Xenopus tropicalis: one gene and its partners. The protein of the gene in region 3 interacts with the protein of the main gene of each other region in a pairwise test. Links are inferred from orthologs where the notes say so. Each region holds a gene or a part of one and is shown on either strand. Other genes may lie near its edges. The genes, in order: ca9, mapkbp1, glrx3, map3k3, moxd1 and trim36.

Evidence for each region.
Region 1: the proteins of glrx3 (region 3) and ca9 interact in binary tests that used the Homo sapiens proteins (3 or more experiments, as listed by UniProt). The two-hybrid records come from large-scale screens. The link is inferred for Xenopus tropicalis from reciprocal best matches to the Homo sapiens genes GLRX3 and CA9.
Region 2: the proteins of glrx3 (region 3) and mapkbp1 interact in binary tests that used the Homo sapiens proteins (3 or more experiments, as listed by UniProt). The two-hybrid records come from large-scale screens. The link is inferred for Xenopus tropicalis from reciprocal best matches to the Homo sapiens genes GLRX3 and MAPKBP1.
Region 4: the proteins of glrx3 (region 3) and map3k3 interact in a two-hybrid assay, tested with the Homo sapiens proteins (2 studies listed by BioGRID and IntAct). The link is inferred for Xenopus tropicalis from reciprocal best matches to the Homo sapiens genes GLRX3 and MAP3K3.
Region 5: the proteins of glrx3 (region 3) and moxd1 interact in binary tests that used the Homo sapiens proteins (3 or more experiments, as listed by UniProt). The link is inferred for Xenopus tropicalis from reciprocal best matches to the Homo sapiens genes GLRX3 and MOXD1.
Region 6: the proteins of glrx3 (region 3) and trim36 interact in binary tests that used the Homo sapiens proteins (3 or more experiments, as listed by UniProt). The two-hybrid records come from large-scale screens. The link is inferred for Xenopus tropicalis from reciprocal best matches to the Homo sapiens genes GLRX3 and TRIM36.

The regions. Positions count from the first base shown.
Region 1 is NC_030677.2:217,092,750-217,096,249, forward strand, and holds part of ca9 (carbonic anhydrase 9), read right to left. Parts: intron 2,068-3,500; coding exon 2,001-2,067; intron 1,023-2,000; coding exon 865-1,022; intron 613-864; coding exon 471-612; intron 9-470; coding exon 1-8. UniProt on the Homo sapiens protein: Catalyzes the interconversion between carbon dioxide and water and the dissociated ions of carbonic acid (i.e. bicarbonate and hydrogen ions).
Region 2 is NC_030684.2:105,027,932-105,031,431, reverse strand, and holds part of mapkbp1 (mitogen-activated protein kinase-binding protein 1), read left to right. Parts: intron 1-210; coding exon 211-296; intron 297-3,328; coding exon 3,329-3,500. UniProt on the Homo sapiens protein: Negative regulator of NOD2 function. It down-regulates NOD2-induced processes such as activation of NF-kappa-B signaling, IL8 secretion and antibacterial response. Involved in JNK signaling pathway.
Region 3 is NC_030683.2:22,217,709-22,221,712, forward strand, and holds the start of glrx3 (glutaredoxin-3), read right to left. Parts: upstream 2,801-4,004; 5' UTR 2,797-2,800; coding exon 2,732-2,796; intron 1-2,731. UniProt on the Homo sapiens protein: Together with BOLA2, acts as a cytosolic iron-sulfur (Fe-S) cluster assembly factor that facilitates [2Fe-2S] cluster insertion into a subset of cytosolic proteins.
Region 4 is NC_030686.2:17,080,605-17,084,567, forward strand, and holds the start of map3k3 (mitogen-activated protein kinase kinase kinase 3), read right to left. Parts: upstream 2,801-3,963; 5' UTR 2,721-2,800; coding exon 2,717-2,720; intron 1-2,716. UniProt on the Homo sapiens protein: Component of a protein kinase signal transduction cascade. Mediates activation of the NF-kappa-B, AP1 and DDIT3 transcriptional regulators.
Region 5 is NC_030681.2:70,268,503-70,272,710, reverse strand, and holds the start of moxd1 (DBH-like monooxygenase protein 1), read left to right. Parts: upstream 1-1,408; 5' UTR 1,409-1,544; coding exon 1,545-1,799; intron 1,800-4,208.
Region 6 is NC_030677.2:172,217,482-172,220,981, forward strand, and holds part of trim36 (E3 ubiquitin-protein ligase TRIM36), read left to right. Parts: intron 1-3,278; coding exon 3,279-3,500. UniProt on the Homo sapiens protein: E3 ubiquitin-protein ligase which mediates ubiquitination and subsequent proteasomal degradation of target proteins. Involved in chromosome segregation and cell cycle regulation. May play a role in the acrosome reaction and fertilization.

The DNA of each region.
Region 1 (3,500 bases), on a different chromosome or scaffold from region 3:
ATTGGGGGCTGTCAGAGAGACAAAGCCATTACTGGTGTTCTACAGAACTGAGATCCATTCACAGATTGTGCTCCTGAGAATAAAGTTCTACCTGAACCCGGAGATCTCATGAAAGTTCTACTCACAGCATGAGTTCTAGAGGGGTTCCTTAGGCTGTACACTACATTGTATGGTGAGTGGGGTTCCATAGGCTGTACACTACATTGTATGGTGAGTGGGGTTCCTTAGGCTGTACCCTACATTGAATGGTGAGTGGGGTTCCTTAGGCTGTACCCTACATTGTATGGTGAGTGGGGTTCCTTAGGCTGTACCCTACATTGTATGGTGAGTGGGGTTCCTTAGGCTGTACCCTACATTGTATGGTGAGTGGGGTTCCTAAGGCTGTACCCTACATTGTATGGTGAGTGGGGTTCCTTACCCTGTACCCTACATTGCCAGGTGGGTTTGGGACCCTGAAGGCTCTGCATTACCTGCCCCAGGAAGTCTCCGCCCTGACACTTTTGGACTGAAGCTGCTCAGAACAAGTCGCCCATTTAGACTTTGAGGAGCACGGAAGTTGTTCTGCAGAATGTGATCGTGGTCGGCATGGATAGTGTCCTCCAATAGGTCCATCTGAGAGAGAAGGGGGACAGTCAGTGAGTGCTGGGGGAGGGGCCAAAGATGCAGTTATGGATCATGTAGAGGCTGAAGACTTGGGTAAGTCAGACGGGAGCCCTCCCGCACTCGCCCCGTTAGACTGTGGAACAGAACCAGTGGGCCAAGAGCCAGACTGGAGGCAATAGCTTGATCCAGATAAATGTGTGTTCTTTCAGCTGTGGGGCCACTAACTGCCCCTTAGTGCATTGTGGGATGTGTGACACTCACCTGCTCTGGGGACAAGAGGATGGTCTGGTTGAAGAGAGTCCAGTTGACAGTCTGGTAGCAGGGGGGGGTAGTGAGGGAGCCGTCATAGTGGTAATATCTGTCCAGCCTCTGGGGCAATAACCCCCGAATATCAAACCCTGGGATTTCTATGCTTTCACCTGGAGAGAGAGAGTCATGTGAATGTTCTGCCCACAACGAGCAGCTCCTCCTCCTCACCTGGTCTGACTCCTCCCACAGGGCCCCCCAGCCTCAACTCTATTCACTCCCTGCACTCACCCCAAGTTTCCACTCACACCCCGCACTCACCCCAGGCTCCACTCACTCCCCTCACTCACTCCTGCAGTCACACTCACTTCGAGCATTCATTCCCTCCACTCACTCCCTGCACTCACCCCAAGTTTCCACTCACTCCCTGCACTCACCCCAGGCTCCACTCACTCCTTGCACTCACCCCAGGCTCCACTCACTCCCTGCACTCACCCCAGGCTCCACTCACTCCCTGCACTCACCCCAGGCTCCACTCACTCCCTGCACTCACCCCAAGGCTCCACTCACTTCCTGCACTCACCCCAGGCTCCACTCACTCCCCGCACTCACCCCAGGCTCCACTCACTCCCCTCACTCCCTCCTGCAGTCACACTCACTTCCTGCATTCATTCCCTCCACTCACACCCCGCACTCACCCCAGCCTCCACTCACTCCCTGCACTCACCCCCAGCCTCCACTCACTCCCCGCACTCACCCCCAGCCTCCACTCACTCTCCGCACTCACTTCCTGCAGTCACTGCCCCAGAAACTGTTTTTTTATTAATATTTTTGTGAATTTGTTTTCCTGACATCTTTAACTCTTTATAGGGTTATGTATTTAAAGGCACTAAGTCTGCCCAGGTGCAGTAACCCATAGCAACCAATCAGCTGGTAGAATTTACTGCTTACCTGCTTAAAAGCAAATATCTTATTGGTTACTATAAGTTACTTCAAATGGGCCTTTTATTACTTATGGGGATAAAAGGGGTCTCCCTGTGCCCCCCACAACTCCCCCTGTGGCTCCGTCTTTAACTCTCTGTTGGGGTCTCCCTGTGCCCCCCTTATATTCATTCATTTTGCGCTCTCGGGGTTCCTGATTGGGCACTTACCCTCCTCAGTTATGTTCTGCAGGTAGGGAAGCAGGTTCTGAAAGGCAGGATTTTCCTCCTCCCCCTCCTGTATGGAGAACCAATCAGATAAATTCTATTCCTGCACCAAATAACCATACAGAATCCCAACACCCACAGCTCGACCAATGGGGTTAAAGTAATCTATGTACCTTATTCCTGGAATGGCAACAGCTTGCCACTCCTTGCCCTGTCCTAAATGGGGGGGGGGTTGTGGTTGGGATGGGGGGTTCTGGTGAGGATGGGGGGTAGTGGTTGGGGAGTTCTGGTGAGGATGGGGGGGGTAGTGGTTGGGATGGGGGGTTGTGGTGAGGATGGGGGGTAGTGGTTGGGATGGGGGGTTGTGGTGAGGATGGGGGGTAGTGGTTGGGATGGGGGGTTGTGGTGAGGATGGGGGGTAGTGGTTGGGATGGGGGGTTCTGGTGAGGATGGGGGGTAGTGGTTGGGATGGGCGGGTAGTGGTTGGGATGGGGGGTTCTGGTGAGGATGGGGGGTAGTGGTTGGGATGGGCGGGTAGTGGTTGGGATGGGGGGTTCTGGTGAGGATGGGGGGTAGTGGTTGGGAGGTAGTGGTTGGGATGGGGGGTAGTGGTTAGGATGGGGGGTAGTGGTTGGGATGGGGGGTTCTGGTGAGGATGGGGGGTAGTGGTTGGGATGGGGGTTCTGGTGAGGATGGGGGGTAGTGGTTGGGATGGGGGGTTCTGGTGAGGATGGGGGGTAGTGGTTGGGATGGGGGGTTCTGGTAAGGATGGGGGGTAGTGGCTGGGATGGGGGGTTCTGGTGAGGATGGGGGGTAGTGGTTGGGATGGGGGGTAGTGGTTGGGATGGGGGGTAGTGGTTGGGATGGGGGGTTCTGGTAAGGATGGGGGGTAGTGGTTGGGATGGGGAGTTCTGGTGAGGATGAGGGTAGTGGTTGGGATGGGGGGTTCTGGTAAGGATGGGGGGTAGTGGTTGGGATGGGGGATTCTGGTAAGGATGGGGGGTAGTGGTTGGGATGGGGGGTTCTGGTAAAGATGGGGGTAGTGGTTGGGATGGGGGGTTCTGGTGAGGATGGGGGGTAGTGGTTGGGATGGGGGGTTGTGGTGAGGATGGGGGGTAGTGGTTGGGATGGGGGGTTCTGGTGAGGATGGGGGGTAGTGGCTGGGATGGGCGGGTAGTGGTTGGGATGGGGGGTTCTGGTTGGGAGGTAGTGGTTGGGATGGGGGGTAGTGGTTAGGATGGGGGGTAGTGGTTGGGATGGGGGGTTCTGGTGAGGATGGGGGGTAGTGGTTGGGATGGGGGGTTCTGGTGAGGATGGGGGGTAGTGGTTGGGATGGGGGGTTCTGGTGAGGATGGGGGGTAGTGGTTGGGATGGGGGGTTCTGGTAAGGATGGGGGGTAGTGGCTGGGATGGGGGGTTCTGGTGAGGATGGGGGGTAGTGGTTGGGATGGGGGGTAGTGGTTGGGATGGGGGGTAGTGGTTGGGATGGGGGGTTCTGGTAAGG
Region 2 (3,500 bases), on a different chromosome or scaffold from region 3:
ATTCCATACAGTATTACATTTTTCTTACATTTTTGTGTGTACCAGACCACTGGTCAGTTTGTCTTCAGCTATCAACAGTTCTTAGCATCAGAGAACAAAAGTCTCTCTAAATACATGTACTTTCATGCCTGTTGTATAAAAGTTTGTTTCCTACATGTGAGTGTGTGGTCTCTCTCTAAGGTTAATGGTTATGATGCTTCTTTATTTCAGCATCGTCTGTGAGTTTTGAGCAGTGTGAGCTAATTGCTTCGGAGCTGCAGGACAGTCTCCGCAAGGCTCTGAGCTTGTACCGATCTGTGAGTACTCAACCTTCTGTGCCCTGTTATATGATACATTAATGCACATTTCCATACAGGAACCTATTGCTTAAAAGAACAGTAACACCAACAATAATAGAGTTGGCTGAATAAAAGAGTTAAGGTCGAGGTTGGTAATAAAAAACGTGCTTTTAAAGCATTCAAGTTAGCTGGGACAGCGGAAACTTTCATCAGGTACAAGGAAGCAAATAAAGCATGCAAAAAAGCTATCAGGCAAGCTAAAATAGAGATGGAAAGGGATATTGCAGCTAGGAGTAAAAAGAATCCAAAATTATTTTTTAATTATGTGAATAGTAAAAAAATGAAGCAAGAAGGGGTGGGATCTTTATTATCACGGGGAGGTACGTTGGTTGATGAGAACGGGGAAAAAGCTGAAATTTTGAACTCTTATTTTTCATCTGTCTATACATCTGAGGAGCCAGATAATGAAGGCTTCCCTTTTAATATACCCAGTGCTAGTAATTTAGCTACTGGCGCATGGGTCACTCAGGAGGAAATTCAAAAGAGACTTGAACATGTAAAGGTAAACAAAGGTCCAGGACCGGATGGGATTCATCCCAGGGTATTAAATGAGCTGAGTGCTGTGATTGCCAAGCCTCTTCACATAATTTTTCAGGATTCGTTGAGGTTTGGCATGGTGCCGAGAGACTGGCGGATTGCTAATGTGGTGCCGTTATTTAAAAAGGGATCTCGTTCTCAGCCTGAAAACTATAGGCCTGTTAGTCTGACATCAGTAGTAGGAAAGCTTCTGGAAGGGGTAATAAGGGATAGGATAGTTGAATACATTGCAGTTCACAATACTATTAGTTTGTGCCAGCATGGTTTTATGCGTAACAGATCTTGCCAGACTAATTTAGTTGCCTTTTATGAGGAGGTGAGCAGGAACCTTGATGCTGGAATGGCAGTTGATGTCATCTACTTAGATTTTGCTAAAGCGTTTGATACAGTACCTCACAGAAGGTTAATGATCAAATTGAGGAATATTGGCCTAGAACATAATATTTGTAATTGGATAGAGAACTGGCTGAAGGATAGAGTACAAAGAGTGGTGGTAAATGGAACATTTTCTAATTGGGCCAGTGTGGTTAGTGGAGTACCGCAGGGGTCAGTCCTTGGTCCTTTGCTTTTTAACTTGTTTATTAATGACCTGGAGGTGGGCATAGAGAGTACTGTTTCTATTTTTGCTGATGACACTAAATTGTGCAAAACTATAAGTTCCATGCAGGATGCTGCCGCTTTGCAGAGCGATTTGACAAAATTGGAAAACTGGGCAGCAAACTGGAAAATGAGGTTCAATGTTGACAAGTGCAAAGTTATGCACTTTGGTAGGAATAATATAAACGCAAACTATCTACTGAATGGTAGTGTGTTGGGGGCATCCTTAATGGAGAAGGATCTAGGGGTTTTTGTAGATCACAAGTTGTCTAATTCCAGGCAGTGTCATTCTGTGGCTACTACAGCAAATAAAGTGCGGTCTTGTATAAAAAAGGGCATTGACTCAAGGGATGAGGACATATTTTTGCCGCTTTATAGGTCCCTGGTAAGGCCTCACCTTGAGTATGCAGTGCAGTTTTGGGCTCCAGTCCTTAAGAAGGATATTAATGAGCTGGAGAGAGTGCAGAGACGTGCAACTAAACTGGTAAAGGGGATGGAAGATTTAAGCTATGAGGTTAGACTGTCGAGGTTGGGGTTGTTTTCTCTGGAAAAGAGGCGCTTGCGAGGGGACATGATTACTCTGTACAAGTACATTAGAGGGGATTATAGGCAGTTAGGGGATGTTCTTTTTTCCCATAAAAACAATCAACGCACCAGAGGTCACCCCTATAGATTAGAGGAACAGAGCTTCCATTTGAAGCAGCGTAGGTGGTTTTTCACGGTGAGGGCAGTGAGGCTGTGGAATGCCCTTCCTAGTGATGTGGTAAGGGCAGACTCTGTTAATAGAGGGGCCTGGATGAGTTTTTGAACAAGCAGAATATCCAAGGCTATTGTGATACTAATATCTACAGTTAGTATTACTGATTGTATATATATAGTTTATGTATGTGAGTGTATAGATTGGTTAGTATAGGTTGTGTGCTGGGTTTACTCGGATGGGTTGAACTTGATGGACAATGGTCTTTTTTCAACCCTATGTAACTATATGTAACTATGTAACTATGTAACAAGTTAAAGTGTATCAAAATAATGAATATATTATGTACTATTGCCCTGCACTGGTAAAAGCTGTTTGCTTTAGAAATACTATTTTAGTATGATACATATGATATAGAACCTGTACATGCATAAACTCCCAAACGGCAAACCCTAAAGCATCAATCAAACTCAAAATCTCTTTTTTTGGTAATGCAGGTATGGGGATCCTTATCTGGAAATACATTATCCAGAAAGTTTCAAATTATGAAAAGGCCATCTCTTATAGACTCCATTATAAGCAGAAAAATCACATTTGAAAAAAATGGATGTATAATCCTGTGATGCTTGTGGATTCTGGTGGAAGATTTTGGTTGGTTGGCTGAAAGGAAGTCTGGGATTCATAGCTCTGTGACTCCTCTTCATTTCCCTTCAGGTTGTTTGGGCATCCAGCCTAAGGGCTCTGGCACACGGGGGAGATTAGTCGCCCGCGATTAACTCCCTGTTCGCGGGCGACTAATCTCCCCGAGTTGCCTACCCCTGCCATCCCACCGGCGAACATGTAAGTCGCCGGCGGGATGGCAGACTTGCGAGTCTTTTTCGGCGATTTCCGGAAATTGCCCCGCCGCGTCTGCCATCCCGCCGGTGACTTACATGTTCTCCCCGTGTACCAGAGCCCTAAATCAGGAGATAAGGGTTTTGATTATAAAAACAAAATGCCTTCTGAAGGCAAGATAAATTAAAGTTATACAAGCAAGAGAAAATTTTGCAGTGGAAATATCATTCTGCGTCTTACTTTTAATGTTTCCTTTAGAAAAAATAATTAAATATGGTTAATGTGCCTTTAGCCTTTGCTTATCTAATTGTATTCTGTCTCCCAGGTAACCACAGCTGATCCATCAACTAACCTGGAGCGCTGCAAGATAGCAGGTCTGTTGACTGAAACCTTTGGTATGGTGAAACGAGAGCTTGATTTCTTGAAAGAAGGCAATGGCAGCCCTGGGACAGGGGAAGCACTGACACCCCTGAATGACACTGGCTCTAACTTGACAG
Region 3 (4,004 bases):
AGCTGCCTTGGTGCCCCCTCTACCAAGGAGTCCCTGACTACTGTACCCCATGATGGTGGCTCTAAATGTACCCAGCAGCTTCTATTGTTACAAGGACTTTAATTTACAACTTAAGTTGACAAATTAATCCTCTCATATGTAGACTACTAAAATCACTGTATAGGGTTCTAGGCTCTTAGCAATTTTACATAAACAGCATTACAGATCTTATTCTTCATTCTATTGTTTGTGTCCTGTATTCTGTGTTGATCTACAGAGAATGGGGGCTGGCAAGTCTAGGCTCAAGTATGTAGCTATAGGTTGCACAATTTATTGGTTCTATAAGAGCCCAGCAAGGCTGTATATTCTGACACAGAAATGTTACGCTTGATTTATGTTATTTATATTTTCTGTGTATATATTATTTATTATCTGGCCACACTGCCCCTAAGGGTAATTTCAGTGATGTACATTAGTACATATTCCACATAACCATGCACTTCATGATATAATTTGTAAGATCCGTTTTTATGTGCAGGATATTATGATAATTACAATGATGATTTGTTGGTGGTTTTTCTGTTATGTCAGTAGCATGTGTGGCCGAAAAGCCGAACACCACAACATTCAGCTGGTGTAATTTCTGTTTGTGTGAGCAAAGGCATGTACCTTTCTTATTGCCCCCACAGGGCATTGGTAAATTCTTTCTGCCTATTAAGCTAGAGATGAAACAGTGTTTTATACCATAACCTTTTGCACAATTAATTAAACTGTGTGTAATGTAAAAATGCACGCAAAAAATCACCAAAATTTATGTTCTTTGGATACTGTTCAGTTTGGGGGATTGGGCAGGTTTAGCGTATTTCTTTTGCTGATGTATCATGCCATCAGTGTATGGTGCATCGGCACAAAAGTAAAGAGCAGCCACAGTTCTTCTTTACTTCCTGCTGTTCCAATCCTTCAGGCCCTTTGCAAAAACGAATGGAACGACAGAAAGTTAAAATACCATGTGAGGCGACTCTATTCATTCAGCCTGCGGACCAACTGGTCGGAGAGTAACTACGCAGCCCATGTATGCCTGCCTTAACTTTGCTGTAAAAATATCCACGCAGTCAGCCTCCCATCACTTACACTGGCTACACACAAGCAGAAACCGCCTGCAGAGCTGCTCACTCCAGACTAGACATCTAGTAGCGTATTGTTTTTGGGGCCAAAAGGACAGTCCGACAGTGATATCTATATAAACCACCACCCAGTTATAATCAGGCCCATCCCCTGCAATGACAGTTTAGATTAAGGATGTATCAAATCCACATTTTGTTTTCTGTCACCTCAGTTGCCCACATTTCATTAAGCGTGGCTGCTTTGTTTGCTCTTCGGCAAGTGACTTTAGTTTTCTCTTACTGCTGCCTCCATCCGTATAGGATAATAACCCACTAGCCATTCTAATGACTGCTGCCCACCCAGGGAAAAACTGCAACAACTCAAATGCCGGGTAGCCTCCTTGCACTGTTGTGTTTGTATGGGTAGAGCTAGCCATACATGTTCCAATAATATCATACGAAACCTTGACGAGTCGACCGATACGCAAAAGTCTGCAGAAATTGGTTGATCGGCCAGGTTAAAAGATTAAGATCTGGTGCCATTGAAGGCGGCCGAGCAAAAACTAAGTTCAGGGCTGAATCGGCAGAAGGAGGTAGAATTTCTATTGTTTCTACATCCATATCGGACGAGTCAGCCCTGAATGTCCGTGGAGGGTGGGAACAATCTTGGAATGATTGGAATTCCTAGGGGTATGGCCACCTTTACACTTACACAACTCTATAACTAGACACTGGGGCAATACTTATCAAGAGCCAGACATCAAGTAGAAAGGCAGTTGGTGGGATCAAGGACTGAATTTTATCACTGGCCCCTTATGTTACAGACAGACCCAAACCCTAGCCACATATGAGCTGCTGATAGGGCCATTCCAGAGTGTGTGTGTGTGTGTGTGAGTATATACACACACACACATATATATATATATATATATATATATATATACATACACACACACACCCACACCTGGTGTCTCAACCCTTTCTCCTTGTAGATTGTAAGCTCTTTTGGGCAGGGCTCTCTTCACCTCTTGTATCGGTTATTGATTGCTTTATATGTTACTCTGTATGTCCAATGTATGAAACCCACTTATTGTACAGCACTGCGGGATATGTTGGCGCTTTATAAATAAATGTTAATAATAATATATATACACACACACATGCCCCTCATGACATAATTACTGAATAGCATTACCCTGATAATAGAGCATCACCAGTATTCAGCCAATAGGACCAACACGATTGGTGCCAAGCTGGCAAAGTGGCAAAGCAGGGCCAAGCTGTGACCTCTGGATATTACTCCAATACACATTACTGAGACTCCTGGGAGCTGTAGTACAGCAAAAAGGATCAATGACATTAGACAACAGTTGAAAGTAAGGACAAATACCATAATGTCCAAAAGTTTAACTACAACTCTCAGTTTCTCCTGCCCTTGTACTTGAACAACAGACAGGGGGCCGCCAGCGAGGCCTACGCCTTGACCAGCCCTATCCGCTGCCAGAGAGAGGAGCCCTCCAGCCTGTAGCCCTCTCCCAATATGAGAGGGGCCTGACACTACCCCCATGCCCCTAGCCCAGTGACAGCCCCCATACTGAGTGCATATGCCCCCACACTGAGCCCTGGCGCCTTCTCACTTAGTCACGTACTTTGCGCTGTTCTGTATCAGCTGCTCAAACTGGCCCGCAGAGCCGGCCTCCAACACCGCCGCCATGCTGCCCGCACCCAGGGAAAGCAACCGAGCACCGAGCCAGCGATGGAACCTTACACGCTAAAGCGGAGGGGACAGACGTGAGTAGCAGAGTGTAGAACGCGGATCGGCTGAACTTGAGCCATAGCGCCTCTGTCCGCCTTTCCGGGTTCAACTTTTAAAGACAAGTTCACGGTGTTTGTGGGTCCCGCGTCGTTATGTTAGCCCTGCGGCTTTATTCAGTCCCCGCTCCTTCCCTTTCTCACATAGCTTAGGGCAAATGTTTCATCTACATGAAAAGCATTGCTCTAACAGGACATGATTTAAAGAATATCAATAAAAATAAGTCTTCCTCTAAAATAAAGTAAATAATGGCCTCAAGGGCAGGGGGTACAAATCTCCATTGTAGCGGGCGACTAATCTCCCCGCAATTCGACCCCACCAGCTAGAATGTAAATTGCCGGCGGGATGGCATACGCGTCGCTGTGATGTCCGGCAGTTGCCTGAAGTTTCCTCTCAAGGCGACTTTGGGCAACTGCGGGACATCGCAGTGACGTGTATGCCATCCCGCCGGCAATTTACATTCTAACCGGTGGGGTGGTGTTGCGAGGAGATTAGTCGCCCGCTACACTGATGATTTGTCGCTGGCCGACTAATCTCCCCGTGTACCCCTGCCCTAAAGCTGGGTGTCTGAGGCAGCAAATAGGTGTTCCACCAACTATTAGGGTGAAGACACAGAGCTACTAGTAGCAGCTACTTGTCACAGCTACAAAAATAGACAATGCTGATCATTTACCAATAATTGTCTGTGTGTTTTAGTATTGTCTATGGCAGGGGATTTTGTGGTGTTTAGTAGGCGTGACAGGTAGCTGCCACTAAGTAGCTCCGTGCGTATTTACCCTTAAGGGTAATGGCAGAGTGGGCAAGTTACTAAGTGCTGGAATGGTTGCCCTGTCATTCCTTTGGTAATTGCCTGATGGGTCGGAAGATTATCCTTCAAGATTTCTGACTAAAGGTGGCCGTACACTGTAACATCTGCTCGACTGGCTAAGTTGCCAAGCAAGCAAATCTTTAATCCGATATACCTTCCTTGGGTGGGCAATATCATGCTAATGCAATTGTTTGGCTCTAGGGCCAAGCGATCACATTACAATGAAGGGAATACAAAAAGTTGGCGCATGAACCGCATCACTGAGCCGATGGAGTCTGCAATCCGACAGAAAAATAAAACC
Region 4 (3,963 bases), on a different chromosome or scaffold from region 3:
CCTTGTCCTTTATAAGTATGGACCAGAATGCAAAAAGTTAAGACTACTGCTTTAAACTGCAATTACATTTACAAATAACATTAAAAGCACTTACAATTTTTGCTATAAATGTATATTTGAAAGTTGCTTAGAATTACATTTTTAGAGTGGAGAGGTGGAGAGCAGCAGATTTTATACCAAGCACTGCTTGTGTTTTTTCCAAATCCCTGTTATTATTATGACATATTTATAAAACACCAACATATTCCACAGTGATGTACAATAAATGGGCATATACATTGAGGTGAAGAGGGCTCTGTCCATTAGAGCTTACAATCTAAAAGGAAAAGGAGTTGAGACACTGGAAACTATGACAACAACCTCACACCAAAACAGTCTCACTCTGCCACTCAGCATCCAATCAGATATCTGCTTTCATAATTTTATCTGCAAGAAAACAATCACACAATTGCTGACTGGCTGCTAAGAGTTACTAGACTGGTGGAATTTGCACCCAACTGGGCAAATGGTAAGTGTGGCTAGAAGGGCTTCTGTATTTCATATTTGTGGCAAATCTCTTTGAAGAGCAAAGGCTAGGAAATTACAATAGCAGGGCTGCGTGTAAAAAAAAAAGGAGCAGAACTCTTATTTCCTAATAGAAATGCAGCTTTTCTACAGTGCAAACACCCAAAGAACTATTTTCTAAACGGGGTGCCAGAATTTGCGGGGCACATTGGGAAGCATTCCGTGGGGTATAGACAGTAGTCTGTCTGCAGCAGACCAATCATGACTAACTAGAAACCCAGAAGACCAAGACTGAGAATGGAAATTATTAGATAAACTTTATGACTGATTGCCATGGATTACAGAGACAGTGAGTGAGTGAGAGACAGAGACAGTGAGTGAGTGAGAGACAGTGAGTGAGAGAGTGAGAGACAGACAGTGAGTGAGTGAGAGACAGAGACAGTGAGTGAGTGAGAGACAGTGAGTGAGTGAGAGACAGAGACAGTGAGTGAGAGAGTGAGAGACAGACAGTGAGTGAGAGAGTGAGAGACAGACAGTGAGTGAGAGAGTGAGAGACAGTGAGTGAGAGAGTGAGAGACAGACAGTGAGTGAGAGAGTGAGAGACAGACAGTGAGTGAGAGAGTGAGAGACAGACAGTGAGTGAGAGAGTGAGAGACAGACAGTGAGTGAGAGACAGACAGACAGTGAGTGAGTGAGACAGACAGTGAGTGAGACAGACAGTGAGTGAGTGAGTGAGTGAGAGACAGACAGACCGTGAGTGAGTGAGACAGACAGTGAGTGAGGCAGTGAGAGCAGGAAACAGTGAAAGATATGCCAGAGACAAGAGACATACAGTGAGTAAGTTACAGAAAGACACAGTGAGTGACAGCAGGAGCTAATAACAGAAAATTGTATTTAAATGACAAGAGAGAGACACAGCGAAGGAGTGCATGCGAGTTAGAGAGACAGTTAGTGACAGCAGGAGGCACAGAACATTGTATTAAAGTGACAAAAGAGAGACACAGTGAGTGAGTGCATGTGAGTTAGAAAGACAGTGAGTAAATGACAATGCATGTGAGACAGGGACAGAGACAGCAGGAGACTGTGACAGAAGAGAGCATATAAGTGATGAGAGAGACAGGGAGTGACAGTGTGTGCTAAATAAGTTACAGTGAGTGGCAATAAGAGACAGTGACAGAAGAGTGTATGCAAGTTACAGAGAAACACAGAAAGCCAGTGAGTGACAGCAAGAGACAGAAAAGTGACAAGAGAGAGACACAGGGAGTGAGTGAGAGAGAGGCAGTGAATGACAGCAGGACACAGAATATGACGGACAGTGTATGTAAGTGACAAGAGAGAGACACAGTGAGTGAGAGATAGAAACTGAGTGACAGAGTGACAGTGACAGAGAGACAGAGAGACAGTGACAGAGTGACAGTGACAGAGAGACAGTGATAGAGTGACAGTGACAGAGAGACAGTGACAGAGAGACAGTGACAGAGTGACAGTGACAGAGAGACAGAGTGCCAGAGAGACAGTGATAGAGTGACAGTGACAGAGTGACAGTGACAGAGAGACAGTGACAGAGAGACAGTGACAGAGAGACAGTGACAGAGAGACAGAGTGCCAGAGAGACAGAGTGCCAGAGAGACAGTGATAGAGAGACAGTGATAGAGAGACAGTGATAGAGAGACAGTGATAGAGAGACAGTGATAGAGAGACAGTGATAGAGTGCCAGAGAGACAGTGATAGAGAGACAGAGAGACAGTGATAGAGAGACAGAGAGACAGTGATAGAGAGACAGAGAGACAGTGATAGAGTGCCAGAGAGACAGTGATAGAGTGCCAGAGAGACAGTGATAGAGTGACAGTGACAGAGTGACAGTGACAGAGAGACAGAGTGCCAGAGAGACAGAGTGCCAGAGAGACAGAGTGCCAGAGAGACAGTGATAGAGAGACAGTGATAGAGAGACAGTGATAGAGAGACAGTGATAGAGAGACAGTGATAGAGTGCCAGAGAGACAGTGATAGAGAGACAGAGATAGAGAGACAGAGAGACAGTGATAGAGTGCCAGAGAGACAGTGATAATGAGACAGAGAGACAGTGATAGAGTGCCAGAGAGTGCAAGTGACCCCCCAGAGGAATGTCAGTGGCCGAGCAGACAAGCGGGGGAGAGTGCCCGTACAAGAGCTTGCGTTACGGCCATAGCCAGTGACTAGGCCCCAGTACTTACCCATGGCGGAGCAGGGGGCACTATTCCGGGCAGCCCTGTCAGTTTCCCGGGCCCTGAGGCCTCCCCCGATTCTTAGGTAAAGTTGTATGTAGCGCCTCCTCTGCTACTGAACCCACCGCCTCCTCTGGGTTATTCTCTCCCCGGGTCTGCCCCGCGGCCCGTCAGCGACTCCGGTCACCTCATATCCGGCTTGGCCAGGGCTCCGGGGGCTCAGGCCTTACTCTGGGCCAGTTCCTAGCCCGCTGCAGGACCTACACACGTCACCGGTGACATCACTGCACCATGTGACCGCCTAGCTAGCGGAGAGGAAGAGTAGGTCATTGTGCAGGAAGTGAGAGAGTCTGTAGAGCAGCAGGTATTAGCGGCCCAGAGAGACTCAATGTAATGGTTGCGAGTACCTGTCTGTGGTGCTGGGCTTACCAGTGGGAGACATGAGAGTCATGGGCTAGAGTTGTGTGGCCTCTGGGCTGCCTAGGCTCTAGCCATTACTAGTTGACAACTCTTGCAGCAGGGGACAACAGCAGGGGGCTGATTGTAGGGGTATTGGGGCATAGTTATTCTTCTGAAGGGAGCTTGTATTCTTGGTACTGAGTTACTGAGTGGGGGTAAGCCTGCTGCAGGGGTCTGTTTATAGGGGAAGAGTAATCTTGCTGCAGGGGGCTGATTGTAGGGCTATTGGGGCATAGTTATTCTTCTGAAGGGAGCTTGTATTCTTGGTACTGAGTTACTGAGTGGGGGTAAGCCTGCTGCAGGGGTCTGTTTATAGGGGAAGAATAATCTTGCTGCAGGGGGCTGATTGTAGGGCTATTGGGGCATAGTTATTCTTCTGAAGGGAGCTTGTATTCTTGGTACTGAGTGGGGGTAAGCCTGCTGCAGGGGTCTGTTTATAGGGGAAGAGTAATCTTGCTGCAGGGGGCTGATTGTAGGGGTATTGGGGCATAGTTATTCTTCTGCAGGGAGCTTGTATTCTTGGTACTGGGTTACTGAGTGGGGGTAAGCCTGCTGCAGGGGTCTGTTTATAGGGGAAGAGTAATCTTGCTGCAGGGGGCTGATTGTAGAGGTATTGGGGCATAGTTATTCTTCTGCAGGGAGCTTGTATTCTTGGCACTGAGTTACTGAGTGGGGGTAAGCCTGCTGCAGGGGTCTGTTTATAGGGGGAGAGTAATCTTGCTGCAGAAGGCTGATTGTAGGGGTATTGGGGCATAGTTATTCTTCTGAAGGGAGCTTGTATTCTTGGTACTGAGTTA
Region 5 (4,208 bases), on a different chromosome or scaffold from region 3:
ATTGTCACATGGGTCTTCTTAAGTGAGGGAATTTCTGCTTCTGTTCTGCACATTCTTGGCTCAGACTTTGCATCCCTAAATATTCTTTATAATGTTTTGGATTTCTTTGCTTTAGAAAGTTATTTACTATAGAAAGAGTATATATGTCAGTGGTATTGTCAGAGATAAACTGCACAATTTTTAGGGGAGCTTTGTAGAAGGGAATTTACCTTGATGTAGTATGGTGGCTTGTCAATTTTCTTATCATAACTTAGCTAAAAACCCATGTTTTTGTAAATAGATGTACTTGCATAGATAATCAGGGGACCGGGGAATGTGCATTTATCAGCCCCCTCTCATTTGTATGTTTGTAGATAAACTGACCAAGTCATTTGGACTTCCATTGTAATTCTATATTTTTACTTAGCATTGAAGTGCTCCTGCTTTGTGTTTTTCTGTACTTTAGCAGAGTTATTCTACAGGACATGGTAAGGTGGCTTGTGAATTTTATGATCATAAGTAAAACCCCTGGTTTTTAAAATACATGCACTTGTATAGATACTTATTGACTTATAAAACAGGGGACAGGGGAATTTGCATTGATCGACCCCCCTCTCTTCTGTGTGAAATGGCTAGCCCTTCTTATCCCCAATGAAGAGAGCTATTTCTTACAATTTCCATATCTGTCATCACCTGCCACTGGATCCTACCAAAATCTACTGTGAAATCAAAATCATACACTGTGCATTTCATGAGAAAGGTGTGTAAATAGAACTACATTTCATGCAGCTTTTGGTTTACAGTAGTCTGTATCCAAACAGTCAAATATTTTAATGCAGTATGCAGTGGAAGGTACACTGCAGAAAAAATCAGTTCAGCAATACACTGTAGGAACAGGCACTACTATTAAGGCAAATGTCAGACCAGGCGTTGTTACCATATAATCCATAAAGTATCTGGGTTATACTTAGTCTGTAATATAAAAAAGTTCTATTTAATACTGTTGCTGGAGGTTATCACAGCATAACATATATATTCAGAATATACATAAAATACATTTGAAAAAGCACAATGTTTTGAAAAGAGCTGACTTTAATCTAACAAACAAATAAATAAATAAATATAATTTGTCGTATATTGGCTGACTTCTTCTTACTTAGATCACAATGGGTTTTTGACAAAGCTGTAAAAAAATAGAGCAGAAAAAGCATATTGTTTGTGCTGCTCCAGAGATCTGAGCTCTTTAAATCTAGCTTACTGGATTACAAAGGGAACATCTCTGAAAACAAAGAATAGCCACTTGTAGCAGCATGTTCTATGCACTTACTGCCTCAGGGCACTGTTGTGGAGCTGGCTCAGGGCTCGAGTCATGTCTATTTCTTATGGTCTCATATAAACCCCACAGCCACACTGTGCACGCTGCATCTCCCCCTCCTCTGATCTTCAAAGTTCCTACTATAAGCTAGGGGTGGCGAGTGTCTAGGAGTGTGTGGGAGGGAGAGGGCTGAGTGGAAAGATATCCCACATCTGTTATCTGTCCATTACAGAGGAAACATTGGATAAGGATGTTTGCATTTCTCTTTCTATTTCCATTCTTTGCCACAGCCCTGAATGTGGACCTACAACCTTACAGCCATAGTGCAGTTCTGGATGGGCAGGGAAAATACATGTTGCACTGGAGGCACCATGGCAAGTCAATCACCTTCCTGCTACAGGTGGAGACGTTAGGCTATGTTGGTTTTGGGTTCTCTCCCAATGGGGACATGGCTTCTTCAGACATTGTTATTGGAGGAGTGGAAGAAGGCAAGCCCTACTTGCAGGTAGGGATCTTTATCTGCACCCAGTAATTACCTCCTATGGGACTTTGCACAAAGACCAGAAATCTCACTGCAGCATATATACCCCAGTGCTTATCCTTAACTGCTGTAGATGCAATATTTGGTTTATTGGCTTTGGGATCAGTACAGAAGTAAGGCATTTCAGTGTATTTTGGTTCAATATGTTTTCATGTTTTTCTATTCTCTTAAGCACTGAGCTTAACTGAGCACTGAGTTACTGTGTGGGAGTATAAAAGAAATGTTAAAATTCTTCATGCTTAGTAGATATTATTAGTGAAAAATATATTGCAGCTTGTTTTATTTATGCTGCTAGATGGAAAACGTTGACTGCTTGCTGCTTTGTACCACATTGTATGTGCTTTTATGTCTATTAAAATATATTATAATTAATATTAGAAATACTAATGTGCAATAGACTCCCAGCTGTGTGTGATGAAAGGCTGGCTGAATACAGATCTTCAGTGATTGACTCATGCAGCGCTTTCCCACTAGAAGACATTCACAGTACATGCTGACACTGTTTGTGAATTAAACCCAGATTACTTGGAAGCACAACAGTGGCAAGGGACAGGAAAGATGGGGGGGTGACATCAGAGGAACAGGGGACATCTAATGTTAATACTGTATTTATACATTTTACTTAAGAAGCAAAAATATCTCTTATTCTGTGTTTAATACTGCAATCGAGGAAGATTTTGGGACACCTGTGGCATTAGAACACTTAGGGGCTGATTTACTAACCCACGAATCCGACCCGAATTGGAAAAGTTCCAACTTGAAAACGAACATTTTGCGACTTTTTCGTATTTTTTGCGATTTTTTCGGCGTCTTTACGAATTTTTCGTTACCAATACGATTTTTGCGTAAAAACGCGAGTTTTTCGTAGCCATTACGAAAGTTGCGTAAAATCGCCCGATTTTTCCGTAGTGTTAAAACTTACGCGAAAAGTTGCGCCTTTTTCGTAGCGTTAAAACTTAAAAGGTGCGAAGTTTCGCGTAAGTTTTAACGCTACGAAAAAAACGCAACTTTTTGCGCAAGTTTTAACGCTACAAAAAATCGCCAGATTTTACGCAACTTTCGTAATGGCTACGAAAAACTCGCATTTTTACGCAAAAATCGTATTGGTAAAGAAAAATTCGTAAAGACGCCGAAAAAATCGCAAAAAATACGAAAAAATCGCAAAATACCGATCATTACGAAAAAAACGCAATCTGACTCATTTCGACCCGTTCGTGGGTTAGTAAATGTGCCCCTTATTTACAAACACTGGTGGTGAATTGCACAAGCACAAAAACTAATTTTGCACAGTCTACAACAATTTAGAGAATGAAAGCAAAGGCCTGGTTGGTTGCTATTGGCAACTACACTACAAGTATAAACATATTTATTACAATATTTCATAAAGCTTAAAATTAAATTTTTTTAGTTCAATTTCATTGGATATCAATATCCCATAGTCTCTGCTTGTTTGTCTTTGCTTGTTTGTCTTTGCTTGTTTTTTGTTTTTTAACAGAGCCAAAAACAAAAAGAAAACAGAGCTGTTGTAATGTGCTGCAGCTAGTTCTGATGCCAAGTATACTATTACAGAAATGTTGGTTCAACTCTCTTCTCTTGCTACCAGTTCCAAAACACAATAAACTGGAAGCACATCATGTTACTTGATAAAACAGCCCCCGTAAAAGCTGCTTTTCTAGCCCTAATAGCTGACTTTCTTCACACTGCATCATGGGAATTGAAATCGTTTTGTAGATATCAGCAAAGAGTATAACCAGACAGTATAGTATTCTCACTGATTTGATGGCAGCAGCAAAATCATGGTGTATATTTTAGCTGCCCACCCCTTCATTTATGCTAAGACCTCACAGTATATTATGAGATGTCTCTTGGCAGGTCAGTAATACCTTCACCCATAGCATTGGTAATGGTAATGGCAGACATTAGTGAATATTGGCAGAGGAATGGTTTCAGGTGCAAAATTCCTAAATGTGCAAATGTAAACATTATATTACTTCATACATACCCCATACTAAAATCTATAAAAGTATTTGTTGTTCCATGACCTAAAAAAATCCCCTTTGGACAACTGCCTGTAAATAAAGAGCCTGTTTCATGAAAAATCTAATTTTTACAATCAAGTCTCTGCAAGATAACCCCCCCCCTTTCCCCCCAGAGATTTGCCATCAAAGTCTGCCCACTGCTAAATAATGAAAAAGAAGTTTTAGTAGCCATGCCCCTTGCTTCTTTTCTGGCTTCATTTGCTTATTATTGATCTTATGGCTAACTGACACAATTCAGCCAGTTGGCTCAGAACAAGAAAATAACACTGGAAAATGGTCAAAGATTATGTTGAAGAATACTAAACATGACAGCACAGCTTTCTGCGCAAAGTGA
Region 6 (3,500 bases), on a different chromosome or scaffold from region 3:
GGCTGTAGTCCCTGAAATTCTGCTAGGCATGTGTGTAAGAAGAAAATAGAAATTGCACTTGAGGTTAACTATGATACTTCTTCTTTAGGCATTAAGTCCGCCATACATGAGCAGAATTAAGTGGACATCGGTGCATGTGTGGGCACGTTGCAGTACTTCTTTTTTCTAGAAAAAAGTAATACACAGGGAAATTACAGGGAGGTCACAACATGCAGTTAGTAGTATGAACAATTCTCTTCATGTTATATAGAATTTGTTTTTAGTGACTATCCATTTGTTGTAAATGTTGGTCCATAATTCTCAGGTAGAGATCAAAGATATCCAATTATTAGTGAAACCGCTGCAAAATGAAGGGATACCGTACCTGCTGAATCACACCATTTGTTACTGTCCATATCTCAAACCAGCCATTATATATGTGAATCATCAGCATGCTTCATCAACTTCCAGTGTATGTAGAGTTGTCTTCCAACAGAATGAAAGTTTGCAAAGCTAATGTAACATAATTGGTGCCGTGGCTTCACCCTGTTTGGTTTATGCATGCAATTTTGTTTGCTACAGGCAAGTGACACAGTGCAAGGTACTTAAAAACAAGTTGTGGGTGGCTAATCTTCCTGTGTGCGACTGCCTTTAGGTTGAAGACCGACAGAGCTACTTAGTAGCAGCTACTTGTCATGGCTACTAAACGCCAGAAATTACCCAGCCATAGACAATACTGAGAATTGCCTCTGCTTAAACACACATAGAAACAATTATCTGTAAATGATCAGCATTGTCTATTTTTGTAGCCGTGACAAGTAGCTGCTACTAGTAGCTCTGTGTGTCTTCACCCTTATACTGAATGATACCTGGCTTGATTAGCAACACATGCTGTACTACATGCTTTGGGACTGGTTACTATGTTTGTTTGTTTATTGAATATGTATTTCTAATCGTTTCCTGTGGTAGACCCTTTGGGCTAGATCTAAGGCCACAAAGACTTTCTATAGACTTCAAAGATAAGTTCTCATTGGTTTAGCCTCTATCAACTGGCTCTTGAGTGGTAACCCTCTAAAGGATGGAATGTTTCAATATGATTTTGGGTATTAAAAGGAATCCAATCCCCAAATATTAAATTGATGCCTTTTAAGAACTTTTGTCATTTACATTAATTTTTTTTTTGTTTTTAGTGGTTTCTGAGATATTTGAATCCAGTGCATATACTATGGGTCTTCTTTTAGCTTTAGGCCTGTTGAGCCAACAGCCTGGTATTTACAGGCATTTGCAGTAACGCAATTATTTTAAACCATTACATTATTATTACAATTGTAAATTCCAAAAGTGCTTAGGTTAGAAAACTGACATTGGTTAATTTTCTTGAGATTAACTTTCCTTTAAAGGAGATCTGTGTGTTATTACTTGAGAAAGGGTGTCCAAGCCTGAGATATGCACTGGAATATGTGTCTTTTCAAGTGTTAATTGAATTCAGGGATGAAAATCCAGACATCTGACACTTTGTACCTGTAAAGGTGGCCCCACACGTGGCGATTTGCGATCGTTTAATCAGCCACTAACCGGTCAGGGCTAAAAGGGCAGATAAGGAGGTAGACACAATAGGATTTCTACCTCTTTCTGCCGATTCAGCCCTGAAGGCAGATTTTGCTCAGGCGCCTCTTTTAACCTGGCCGATCGGCGAGACGACCGATATCAGCAGACTCCTGCGATATCGGCCGACTCGCCATATACGCACCGAATATCGTACAAGCAAAGTTTCGTACGATATTATCGGTGTGTGTATGGCTAGCTTAAGTCCCTCAGCGCAAAATTTAGAGCAAAGGCTGCAAATTCAGTCTAAAATATCCACATTGGCCAACTATATCATTGTATTTGTTGCCATTTTTATACTCCATCTTTCCATAACCAGTGTTATTGTTACCATCCCTTTTCATAACCCAATCGAAAACCTCTAGTTTAATGGCCTTTTCAGTACTGAACATGCCAGTATGAGAGCAGTTTATTTTGGCAGTGGCAAACGGACTGAGGGGTGTCTGCTTGCTGGAAAGATCAGTGTTACAAATGGAGATCTTTAAACCAAACTGTAAGTGATCTTTACGACATTTGCAACTTGTTTTTAAGTCTTAAAATCCATGTACAGGTATGGGACCTGTCATTCAGAATGCTTGGAACCTAGGGTTTTCTGGATAAAAGGGGTCTTTTCATAATTTGGATCTCTATAACTTAAGTCTACTAAATAAAATCATTGAACTTAGTTGGGATAAAGTACAAGGTACTCTTTTATTAACACAGAGGAAAGGAAAATTGTTTTTAAAAATGTGAATTTTTTTTATTAAAATGGAGCCTTCCTATAATTTGGAGCTTTTTGGATAGCGGATCCCATACCTGTATTTGATTCTCTTTCTATTAAGGACATGCAAGCTGCAGACCATTGGTTCTCAATCCCATATTTGTGGCCCTTCATGTGTTGTGAATATCACCGTGGTACAAGTAGGTCAGAACATGGATGTAATACAAGATTACTGCTGTGTGAAGATCCAAAAATCATGTTTTGTTGAAAGGCAGGAGAAGGTATGAGGAGCAGTGAATTGTGTGGTTTTTGTGTGACTCTTTGAGAAGGCATCTTTGGTATAGATATTTTGTTTAATTTTCTATGCGCTGCTTCCCCTTGGTGACCTCTGCTTTTGTTAGACTTGTTAGGCCCCAAAATAGATTGTTCATCACTGCTTTACCTAAACTGTAACGGTATTGTCTGACTTTCTTTGAATTGGTTTAGTAAATAGGAAGAGAGGTATTGATGTTACCTAGTGTATTTTTGTGTGTATATATATATATATATATATATATATATATATATTATATATAAAAACAGGTTTGAAGTGGTTACTTGTTGGCACAAACAGAGCGTTTCTGTCACAGCAGTCAAGCCCTCCTGACTACCTGTTATCAGTCAAAATCTGCATCTTTGGGGAAAAATAATTTTAGTAGTGGGTCATTGTGGCATTCTGGGTCCACACAGTTGTTTCAGGTATCCCACAGTGTTATGAGCCACTGAATTTTCTGTAGAAACATAAATTGTCTTCTCCAGCAAAGGCAATGGTTTTTCCTCTTAGTGTCTAGAGTTGGGTGAGCTCAGTCTTTTGCTGGAGTTATTCTTTTGGTCAACAGATGATCTCACTTCTCTTGTTTTTCTATTTTATCCCATTTTGCTTATGTGCTTATCGCTTCTTGTGTTGTTATGTTCATATTGGGCATAAACTAAATTTTATCTAAACATTTCATAGGCTCCAAGCGCAATTCTTTGACTCCTAAGATCACTACCATATCATGCCCTGGATGTTTGCACGATGTAGATCTTGGAGAACGTGGCATAAATGGCCTTTTTCGCAACGTTACTTTGGAAGCTATTGTGGAACGCTACAGACAAGCAGCCCGAGCAGCAACTGCCATCATGTGTGACTATTGCAAACCTCCGGCTCAGGAATCTACCAAAAGCTGCATGGATT